Mus musculus: one gene and its partners. The protein of the gene in region 1 interacts with the protein of each later gene in a biochemical or structural test. Links are inferred from orthologs where the notes say so. Each region holds a gene or a part of one and is shown in the gene's direction. Other genes may lie near its edges.

Region 1 (3,649 bases):
GTCACATGGTGTGTATAGCATTCATGTTTGTTTCCTGTCTTTCATCTGGAATAGTTTCTATGTCATACTATTGCTCTTGCTCCATACTTGGGACATTCCAGGAGCTGTCAGTTGCACCCTGCAGCTGAGACTCAGGCTGTGCTGTGCCAGGCCCTTCTGCACCACTCCAGTACCTTAGGGCTAAGTTGATTCAGGACAGTCAGGTCAGCTCTGCCTCTTGAGAAGATGATGGTGAGGTTTCTTCACTGGGAACTTACAGAATCAAGGCTAGCTGGGCATGGTGGCACATGCCTTTAATTCCTATAGTGCAGAGACACAGAGGCAGGGGGATTTCTGTGAGTTCCAGGCCAGTCAGGGCTATATAATGAGACTCTGCCTCAAAACAAAAATACTGTGTCTATGTATTGAGAGTGTACAGTGTATTTTGTGTGTGGAAATGCTATGGGATGATTGTCATGGTTAGTTGGTTAGTGTGCCCAGCACCCCACAGTGCATGCTGAGGTGGTGGAGTCTACTCTCAGCAGAGTTCAAGTTTGCTCTACCTTGTCCAGTCCAGTGCTGGGCATGAGGCTTCCAGAGCCCGTGGAAGATGTTATGTCTGAAGATATGTACTGTGGTCAGTGTCTCCCTCCTGCCACAGTCCCCAACAGCCCCTGCCCTAATCACAGTTTGTAGAAGTCGGGATGCTTGGTGAGCCTTCCAATTCTGGATTGGAGTTCATTCATTTCATATGGTCAAGTTGACAACCAGGAATAACCACTGCAGGTTAGAATCCTGTTCTTCCTGCCCCCTCCTCCCCAGTTCTGGGATGGGGATGTGCACAGCTCCCTCTCCTTGCTGCTCAGTCTCCCAGAATGGAAGGTGTCCAGAGTGAAGAGGGTGGCCACGCAGGAGCCTCACTTTGATTGGATTTGTTGTCTGTGCTCTGGGAGCACATCCATGGATAGTGTGCAGTGGCCATTGACTCTTCACATAGTGTACCCATGCCTAAGCATCCCAGGGCACTTGGTCTTAGACATGAAGCCTGTAGATTCTCATGTTCCTTGAATAAGAACTACTCATTCCTCCTGTGGTCTTCATGTAGCCCAGGAAGGCCTTGAACATAGGGAAGTCTGCACATGTGCAGTACAGGTGCATTGTTATGGATATTCACTGCATGGAGAGCCGACTCTGCAGGGCTGTCTGCTCTCTACACACATGGCATGTGTGAGCCTTTATACATGGTGAGATGAGATTACATTCCTGTTGTTTGCTCTGTTGGTTTCCTTCCCCTACCATTTCATCTTAGGGTGCTGTGGTTGAGATGGCTGAGCACATCTCAACATTGTGGGAGGGCTCTGGGTGCCATCGCCAATACTGCTAAATACATAAAGTGCATTACTGTGCCTTCCATCCTTGCACACAGTGATAGAGCTCTGTGCTGAAGCAGGAGTAGTGCCTCTAGCCTGTGTCAGTCAGCAGTTCCTTGCAGCTCTGGGGGCTCTGAGGGTTGTGGTTGCAGCACACTCCTCCTGCAGGTGCCGTGAGCTCCTAACCATTTAGTCAGCATGTTAGTGTTCTTAAGAGTCTGGCCTGTGGGCTGGAGAGATGGCTTAGCAGTTAAGAGCACTGACTGCTCTTCCAGAGGTCCTGAGTTCAATTCCCAGCAACCACATGGTGGCTCACGACCATCTGTAATGGGATCTGATGCCTTCTTCTGGTGTGTCTGAAGATAGCTACAGTGTGCTCATATAAATAAAAATAAGTAAATCTTAAAAAAAAAAAAAAGAGTCTAGCCTGTCCATCTGCCTCTTTTTTTTTCTTTTGATAAAATAGCTTTTTTGTTTCTGTATTTTTCTAAAAATCATATCCACAGTCCTCCTTACTTGTATTTTTTTTTCCTTAACTTTCAGAAAAGCAAAAGAAAAGGACATGAATATACCAATATTAAGTATTCCTTGGTGGACCAGACAAGTGGTGATCAGAGTCCCCTGCCACCCTGCACCCCAACGCCACCCTGTGCAGAGTAAGTAGCGATACGGCGGCAGCGTAGGTCTGGTAGAAGCTTAACAGCAGTTGCTTGCAGTATTCTCCTCAGGCTTGCTTGCTGCCCACTGATGGTGCATGGGGCGGTGGGGTCCAGGGACTCTCTAGGGCTCATGGTTGCAGGGCCCCTAACCAGTAGGCACGTGATGGGCTCTCCAGGATCCTGTGGGGCCCTGGGCATGTTAGGTAGGGTTCTCTGGGGAAAATCTAATTTTCCTTTTGCAGGGAGCATTATTTCAGTGGGAAGCGCTGTCCCTTACAGTGTGGAGACTCTTAAGAATAAATAAACTCTCTGTTCATGTGTGGACATGACTATGATCTGCCAATCTTCCTGTCAGTCAGGGTTTTTAAACCAAGGGTCAGAAAGCCAGAGCCCATAGGCTAGCTTTGCTTTTTAAAGGAGTTCTTATTTAAGACAAACAAACAAACAACCCCAAAAACCTGACAAGCCAACAGTTGCATGGGGACAGCTATCCCAGTAGGAAATGGCGAGCAATTACGAATGGGTGTGCTGTAAAAGAAGCTGCAGGTGGCTTACGGACATGCAGGAGAGGCTCATTTTCCTTGGTGGCCAGCAAACACGAAGGGAAAGCTCAAAGTTCTTTTTTTTTTTTTTGGGGGGGGGTTCGAGACAGGGTTTCTCTGTATAGCCCTGGCTGTCCTGGAACTCACTTTGTAGACCAGGCTGGCCTCGAACCCAGAAATCCACCTGCCTCTGCCTCCCAAGTGCTGGGATTAAAGGTATGTGCCCCCAACGCCCGGCTTCAAAGTTCTTTCCACCAAGCAGAGCCACCAAGCAGTACCAGCAGGGGGTGTCCAGTGGTGGTGAGGACAGTTTTTAAGGAACGGCTGTTATATAGTGGTGGTTCAAGCACATTGGTTCAGCTCCACAGGACAGCTTGCCCCAAACTGCAGCCAGAGCCTTCTGAACACACTAAAATTTCTGACCTTGAACTTGGAGATTGCCTCTTATGGAAGTGCTCAGATCTCAGGAAAGATTGTGTTCCAGAGGCATTCAGTATGATGCCATCTTAACGGTTTGTACATCTGTGACAGAAAAGTGTGACATTTCCAGCATGTGAGTTCAACTAGAGACCCACTTAGAAGCAGAAAGGGCCCAGGCCCTATTAGTCAGACTCCAAGTAGGACTGAACTTAGGACAAAAAATGGAAAATAATCCCTGGTGCTCACTGTTGTCACCGACAACAACCCTGTGCAGCAGCGGCTTGGAGGGCTCAGGTGGTAGAGTATGTAACCAGCGGTGTGGCCATGCCTGTCTACATCATTCTCTGTGTCTGTTAGACAGCCTGCTTACAACTCGTGACGTCAAAGTGTCTTAGGCCATGTTGGGGTGAAACACCCCAGTTCTCTGAGCTGGCGCTCTATAGCCTGCCACTGAAGGCTCCTGGGAGCAGCAGGACTCCAGTAGAAACCACATTCACATTCTGGGAGACCCAGGTCCCTGCAACTTAACTGACAGTTTCCAGGGCTGTTTGGCCAGGATAGGATTGAGGTCTGCTGTGACCTCACTCTGTTCCTCCTGTCACCTCAATGCTTGATGTCTGCAAGGGCTCAGGCTTACATGTCTCACACCGTAGCCCCTTTACCCCTCATGTACCCGGGA
Region 2 (3,649 bases), on another chromosome or scaffold:
TGAGATCAAGGCCACCCAAGGTCACATAAGACCCAAGTCTCAGAGGACAAGGGAGGGAGGTGGGGCATAATAAGAACTGGTCTGAGGAGGGGCATAATATGGACATGGTTGTTATGCATTCAGGCTGTTGTTGAAGAGTGAAGACTTCAGATCTCCAGATGTTAATTAATAATAAATTCGTCCAGGCGGTGGTGGCGTACTCCTTTAATCCCAACACTCGGGAGGCAGATGCAGGTGGATCTCTGAGTTCGAGGCCAGACTGGTCTATAAAGTAAGTTCCAGGGCGGCCACGACACAGAGAAAACTTGTCTCAAAAAGACCACAGAAGAAGAGGAAGAGGAAACCCGAGTTGAAATTGGGTCAGTGCTAGTGACGAGCATTTACTGAGCCCTTCCCATGTGCCCAGCCCTGGGTGAAGCACTGTGGTAAATTATCCCTAGTAATATTTAAAATAGCACATGAGACTCATAAGTGAACTCACTAAGACTTAGAGCTAAGGCACGATAGGTAGGACTGGGATTTGAACCCAGGCAGTGTGGCTCCTGAGACCAACTCACCACTAGCCTCTTGTACTTCCCGGGGGGAGAGACTGTCAGGTCTAGCAGTGTGCTCAGGCTGTCTGCCCCTGTGTGGGACCACTGCCATCCCAGGCCTGATGCTCAGCTTCCTTCAAGATCATACGCCCTTTGTGCTCAGAGAGGTGACATGTGTCTGTGTGTCACTAGTAGGGAAGGTGGCCTGGAATGGTGACATAGGACCAGAATTTGAATGGTTAGGAATGTTGCTGAGGGAAGGTGGCACAGTGGGGGCACAGTGGATTTGCCTCTCTGAGCTTCCAGGTGGGAAGGAAACCATGAAGTTCCGGGAAGCTGTCTGGACAGGAAACTTCTGTTTAGGTTTCAGTGCTCAGAAATAAAAGCTGAGTGTGGAAGTAAAGTCTCTAAGTGAAGATGGAGGGGCTGGTGAGATGGCCCAGCCTAATGACCTGAGTTCAATACCCTGGACCTTACTTGGTGGAAAGACAGATTCCTGCAAATTGTTCTCGGAGTTCCACTAACACACCCATGCACAGAATAAATAAGTAAAAAAAATAAGTAAAAAACAATGTGTGTGTGTGTGTATATATGTATATATATATATATGTGTATATATATATATAGATAGATAGATAGATAGATAGATACACGTATATACACACACATATATATACACACACATACGTGTGTGTGTGTGTGTGTGTGTGTGTGTGTGTAGAGTGGAGTTGGAAGACTTAGGACCAACTTTTCAGAAAATCCAAACCCATATTTCATTGCCAAAATAAGTAGTGAAGAAGGCAGGCAGATAGCAAGGGAGGAGAATCTGCTTCAGAGGCAGCTCAGATAGTGAAGCCAGGTCAACAGGGACCGGGTGATATTCAGGCTATTGGAGGCCAAGACTGGAAAACCAGGTTAAGAATGGTTAAAACTTCCTCCACTGAATTTTCTCTTTAGGATCATGGTCTTAGGATCAAGGAAATTTTCCAGCATCTTTGAAACTAGAAATAGCAATGCAGTTTCAAAAGCAGATGGGTAGCTACAGATGTTGGTACATACCTGTAATCCCAGGATTTTGGAGGCTAACATCTGGAGTTCATGGCCAGCTCTATGAGACCTGGTCTCAATACAAAACAAACATGGTTATGCATACCTTTAATCCCAGCGCTTAAGAGGTGGAGGCAGACAGATCTCTGTGAGTTCAAGGCCAGCCAGAGTTACGTAGTGAAACCTTGTCTCACAACAGGTGAATGAACAAGGGCAATAGCAAACAAGAATAACAAAACCAGGTGGTTGGAAGGCGAACTTGAGGGAGAGCAAACCAATGAGAGAGGAGGCTTTAAAAGCACACAGGAAGAGGAAAAAAACAGGGGTAATCGCCACACACCCTTTAAAATTCTTATTTATTTATCTGATGTGCACTGGTGTTTTCCATGAATGGTTATCTATGTGAGGGTGTCCGATCCTCTGAAACTGGAGTTGCAGACAGTTGTGAACAGCCATGTGGTTGCTGGGACTTGAACCTTGGTGGGGTTCTCTGGAAGAGCTGCCGGTGCTCCTAACCACTTAGGCATCTCTCCAGTCCATGTGCCACACATCATTGTAAGCAGAAAGGCAGAGATGAACACACACACAAACACACATGTACACCTACACACATACACACATACATGTGCACATGTACTCAAAACTCCAAGACAGAGCACAAGTTAATCTTGTCATTCAGTTGAGTGGCCAGTCTTGCTCAAGGTGCGAAGATGGTGAGTGTCCCTAGCATCTTGTGTTTTATCAGTGAATGGGGACAGGAGGTGTCTGTTGCTGTCCTTCTGGTCTAATCAGTGGAAGTGGAGAGAAGAGGATTGAAATCCTAGGCTGGAAGAGAAGCAGATAAGAAGCAGTGGCCATTCTGTGTTCCCTCTCTGTTCAACTCCCTTCTTCTCCCTCTTGGGTTCTTTGTGACTGGATCTCTGTGTCGTATCCTGGCTTGGAACATGAGCTCCTTCTGCATGCATCTCCCAAGTACGGGGATTGCGGCTGTGCACCTCTTACTTGCTTCTCTCCCCTCTCTGCTCGGGGCTAATCCTTGGCCTGCTTTCCAGCCCCAGTGGATGAAGTTGTGATTTCCATCCTGTCGAGTAACGAGGTACAGTCTGGAAGTGAAATGGTACTTCGGTGCTCTGTGAAAGAGGGGACGAGCCCAATCACGTTTCAGTTTTACAAAGAAAAGGAGGACAGACCCTTCCACCAAGCGGTCGTGAATGACACCCAAGCGTTTTGGCACAACAAACAAGCTAGCAAGAAGCAGGAAGGACAGTACTACTGTACAGCCTCCAACAGAGCCAGCAGTATGAGGACCAGTCCCCGAAGCAGCACTCTTGCAGTCAGAGGTGAGTCCACACCCCCACCAGAGCATCAGTGTGGGGGGCTTCCGAGGGTCAGAAAGCACGAATTCCTTGTAAAAGGGAGAGGAGTGGAGACTAGCTCATTTGGGAGAGCTAAGAGACCGGTGTCTGATTAGTTACAATTAGCAGAAACCCACTCATAGTAGCTTGAGCAGAAAAAGAGATGATTCTATTTATATATAATCTGAAAATGTTTTATCCAGTCCCAATTCTAAGTATCCGATAGAGAGATACCAGTTGACAGTTGACGCATACTGTGGGTTAAATGTCTATCCATGAACGACCTGTATCCAACATAGATGTGTTGATAGGATTCTAGCTGTGTGCTTGAATGAGAGAGTCCTGTAGAGATGGAGGGCCACCCCAAATGGAACAACACCTCTACAAAATTAGCTTGGTACCTCCTTGAAGACTGTAGTTGACCTTGGTTTCTAGCAGAAGCCACCATTTCCACCCAGGCTGAGTACAGAAGCCCTCATGGGCAGACACCAAAGCAAAATGCCATTTTTAAGGATCGCAAAATGGGGTCTGAGTTGCTGCTTAAATCTGCTGCCATTTCTTGCTGGTGGGAGGAAAACATGTGTTTCCTTTCTTTCTACCCGACTTCCAGTCTTCCTTGCCCCATGGAAGAAAGGGCTCATTGCGGTGGTTGTCATTGGAGTGGTCATCGCCACCTTAATAGTTGCAGCCAAATGCTACTTCCTGAGGAAAGCC
Region 3 (3,649 bases), on another chromosome or scaffold:
AAGAAGCAGGGCTCTGCAGATCACCGTTGCTCGCATTTTCTTTCCAGTTCCCGCACATTTTCATTGAGAGTGCCTTACTCAGTGACTCAGACATGCCACTCTATTAGCATGAACAAGGCACTGAACCCTGTCCCCAGCACCACAAAAATAAAATGGAAACTTCTCATCTACTTTTTGAACACAGAAGAGTTTAGTTTATGCTAATTTCAAAAAAAATCAAAAACAAAACAAAACAACAAAAAAAAAAACCCACTGCCCATCGGACAGTTTATGCCCCAGGACATAAACTTATTTCTGTATCTTGTCCAGGGCGCAGGCCTCTGTATATTCAATCCCCCCAAAAGGTGCAGTTATGATTCAAAAGATGGAGCATTATCCTTGTTCGTGATTTGTCCACCACCTCCAGGAAGGGTTGGCCTGGTTTGTCCCCACGGCAGCGGGTGGAAGTCCTCTTCATCCCACCCTCCCTACCGTGGGCCTTTCCAGCACTATCATTTCTAGAGATCCTTCCAACAGAAGCTTTTCAAAAAGCCCGTGTGCTTTGTTTAGAATTCCCTCAGTGAGCCTGGCTCCTGTGTCCAGACGTTTGATAAGCGCTTACGGTCCCTCCTCCGCTCACGTAGGAAGCAGGTCCCGAATGTGGTTCTGGTTGATTTGCATAAGCTCTTCAGATAGATATTTTTATCTGAGTCTCTTTCCATTTCAGGTTGCACGAGCCCGAGAAGAACGCCAGGGAAATAACCCAGGTACAGTCTTTGGTGAGCTGCCCTTCCTGGGAAACTCGGGGTGTGATTTCCTTGCTTCAACCGGAGTTGCGGATCCAGTTCTAAATTAAGTCTCTGGGCTAGGGAGGAGGAGCTGTGCATTACTGAGTCACCCATGAGTCCTCTGCATCCTTCTCCAGCTCCAGCTGGAGAGTCTGGGGCTCCTGGGTTCGTTGTGAATCATTGCATAACATGGGGTACCAGTGTCCCACGTAAACGATACCCAGAGTCAGATTCCAGCTTCCTTTGTTGCTGCACATTCCTGCTTCTGGGCCCCTGCTCTAGCCAGTTCTACCACTGGGAGCCATCGTCAGCTCACCTTACTCTTCCCTGCCTGTCATGGCCTCTCTCACCTTTGTGGAGGAGGAGGAGGAGGAAAAACCCTGTGTCACCAGTGACCTGGATGGATGACAAGATGTCCTGGACCTGGTAGCTTCTCCCTGTTCATCGTTGAGGAGATTTCATAGGCAGTATTAATTCGTTTATTTCCCAGATCCCTGAGCCCTGTTGTCTCTGTCCAACAGTGTCACCTCTGGGGACACAGGGTTCCTCAGAGCCTTGTAAAACAAGACAAACCCAGTCCTGAACCTGGAACGAAAGCCTCAGCTTTCCTGCTATTTCCAAAGCAGTTGACACCACTTTAGACATAACCTGCTGACGGGGCCAGGCTTGGAGAGGTGTGGGATTTGTAAGCCAGACATCTTGTTGTGCCAGCCCGTACCAGCCTTAGGCATGAGCTAAGCAGTAATTAGCAAATATGAGACCATTTCTAGTCATGGCAACCAGAGTTCTTGCCCCCTGTTATTTTGTTTCTGTGCTTCCTTCTGGAATCTTCTGGGTAAAAGACTTGGTTAGTGAAGCCTGTAGAAATTCACATTCCAAGACTTACTGAGTGTGCAAATACATGTCAGGCCCTGGCCCCCAATATCAGCCTTAGTATCTTGCCAGGGAGGGAGACCAGTTCAGTCTCCATGATTTCCCCGACAGCAGGCCTCAGGGTAGAGGTACCACAGTGTGGGAAGTTCACCATGTTAGGCTCCAACAGGCTTCATTTCTTTTCCTCAGCTGAGTGAACTTAGACCAAATCACTGAATTTATATCTGCTCCCTAGGTCACCATTTTTACCTGTAAAATAGGGTCAGTCACTCTTCCTGAGTAGCGTTGTCATCAAGCCTTTGTGTAATGACTTCTGACTATGTGATTGCATCCATCTCTCCGTCTAGCCATCTACCCAACCATCCTCCCATCTGTCTGTCTTTCCATCCATCCATCCATCCTGTCACCATGGACTGGGCCTCTGTGCTAGCCTTGTTGTCTGCAGTATAACAAATGCCCAGTTAACGAAAAAAGAAATGTTGTGAAATAAACATGTAAACGAAGAGGTGTTCCCTATCTTGTGGGAGATCACATTTGCTAAGGTTGCAAAACAAACATAGTCTTTGGTGGTAGATGCTATGCTAGGGAGATGTGAACTGAATTGCTCAGAGGAGCTCTGGGTCCAGCCAGAGGTATTGAGGACCAAGAAGTATCTTAGGGTAGAGCAGTGCTAGAGCAGAATTGTACATGGTTCACTGGGGTCTCTTATGTGGGAGAGGTGAGAGTGGGTGATCCAGGACAAGGAAAAGATATGGGAAGGGGGAGGGGATAGCTTCAGGTGGTTCCACCCAGAAAGAAGGAGGTGACATGAACCTGGAGGAAGCAAGCTGGGACTGGAAAGGGACATGTGATAACCACCCGAGTGTTTCAGAAGACCCTTTGGGCTCTGTGAGGAGGAAGGTGGATTGGAAGAAGAAAGGCTGGAAATGGGATACCATTGGCAGAGTGAAGGCTGAGCCCACTGGGAAAGAAGTGGGCCGATTTTGTTGCCAGTTGGTGGGTCAATAGGCTGGGGCTCCAGAATGACTTTCTCTCTGTGTCTTTTAGATCCAGGACACAAATGACATCAACGACATCACATACGCAGACCTGAATCTGCCCAAAGAGAAGAAGCCCGCACCCCGGGCCCCTGAGCCTAACAACCACACAGAATATGCAAGCATTGAGACAGGCAAAGTGCCTAGGCCAGAGGATACCCTCACCTATGCTGACCTGGACATGGTCCACCTCAGCCGGGCACAGCCAGCCCCCAAGCCTGAGCCATCTTTCTCAGAGTATGCTAGTGTCCAGGTCCAGAGGAAGTGAATGGGGCTGTGGTCTGTACTAGGCCCCATCCCCACAAGTTTTCTTGTCCTACATGGAGTGGCCATGACGAGGACATCCAGCCAGCCAATCCTGTCCCCAGAAGGCCAGGTGGCACGGGTCCTAGGACCAGGGGTAAGGGTGGCCTTTGTCTTCCCTCCGTGGCTCTTCAACACCTCTTGGGCACCCACGTCCCCTTCTTCCGGAGGCTGGGTGTTGCAGAACCAGAGGGCGAACTGGAGAAAGCTGCCTGGAATCCAAGAAGTGTTGTGCCTCGGCCCATCACTCGTGGGTCTGGATCCTGGTCTTGGCAACCCCAGGTTGCGTCCTTGATGTTCCAGAGCTTGGTCTTCTGTGTGGAGAAGAGCTCACCATCTCTACCCAACTTGAGCTTTGGGACCAGACTCCCTTTAGATCAAACCGCCCCATCTGTGGAAGAACTACACCAGAAGTCAGCAAGTTTTCAGCCAACAGTGCTGGCCTCCCCACCTCCCAGGCTGACTAGCCCTGGGGAGAAGGAACCCTCTCCTCCTAGACCAGCAGAGACTCCCTGGGCATGTTCAGTGTGGCCCCACCTCCCTTCCAGTCCCAGCTTGCTTCCTCCAGCTAGCACTAACTCAGCAGCATCGCTCTGTGGACGCCTGTAAATTATTGAGAAATGTGAACTGTGCAGTCTTAAAGCTAAGGTGTTAGAAAATTTGATTTAT

What was found. The genes of interacting proteins can lie anywhere in the genome.
Region 2: the proteins of Ptpn11 (region 1) and Pecam1 form a complex in vitro, tested with the Homo sapiens proteins (4 studies listed by BioGRID, with this or other methods). The link is inferred for Mus musculus from reciprocal best matches to the Homo sapiens genes PTPN11 and PECAM1.
Region 3: the proteins of Ptpn11 (region 1) and Sirpa form a complex in vitro, tested with the Homo sapiens proteins (2 studies listed by BioGRID). The link is inferred for Mus musculus from reciprocal best matches to the Homo sapiens genes PTPN11 and SIRPA.

The regions. Positions count from the first base shown.
Region 1 is NC_000071.6:121,135,773-121,139,421, reverse strand, and holds part of Ptpn11 (tyrosine-protein phosphatase non-receptor type 11), read left to right. Parts: intron 1-1,892; coding exon 1,893-2,005; intron 2,006-3,649. UniProt on the Homo sapiens protein: Acts downstream of various receptor and cytoplasmic protein tyrosine kinases to participate in the signal transduction from the cell surface to the nucleus. Positively regulates MAPK signal transduction pathway. Dephosphorylates GAB1, ARHGAP35 and EGFR.
Region 2 is NC_000077.6:106,684,232-106,687,880, reverse strand, and holds part of Pecam1 (platelet endothelial cell adhesion molecule isoform 3 precursor), read left to right. Parts: intron 1-2,632; coding exon 2,633-2,920; intron 2,921-3,545; coding exon 3,546-3,649. UniProt on the Homo sapiens protein: Cell adhesion molecule which is required for leukocyte transendothelial migration (TEM) under most inflammatory conditions.
Region 3 is NC_000068.7:129,627,240-129,630,888, forward strand, and holds part of Sirpa (tyrosine-protein phosphatase non-receptor type substrate 1 isoform 1 precursor), read left to right. Parts: intron 1-706; coding exon 707-746; coding exon of another isoform or gene 747-758; intron 759-2,687; coding exon 2,688-2,945; 3' UTR 2,946-3,649. UniProt on the Homo sapiens protein: Immunoglobulin-like cell surface receptor for CD47. Acts as docking protein and induces translocation of PTPN6, PTPN11 and other binding partners from the cytosol to the plasma membrane.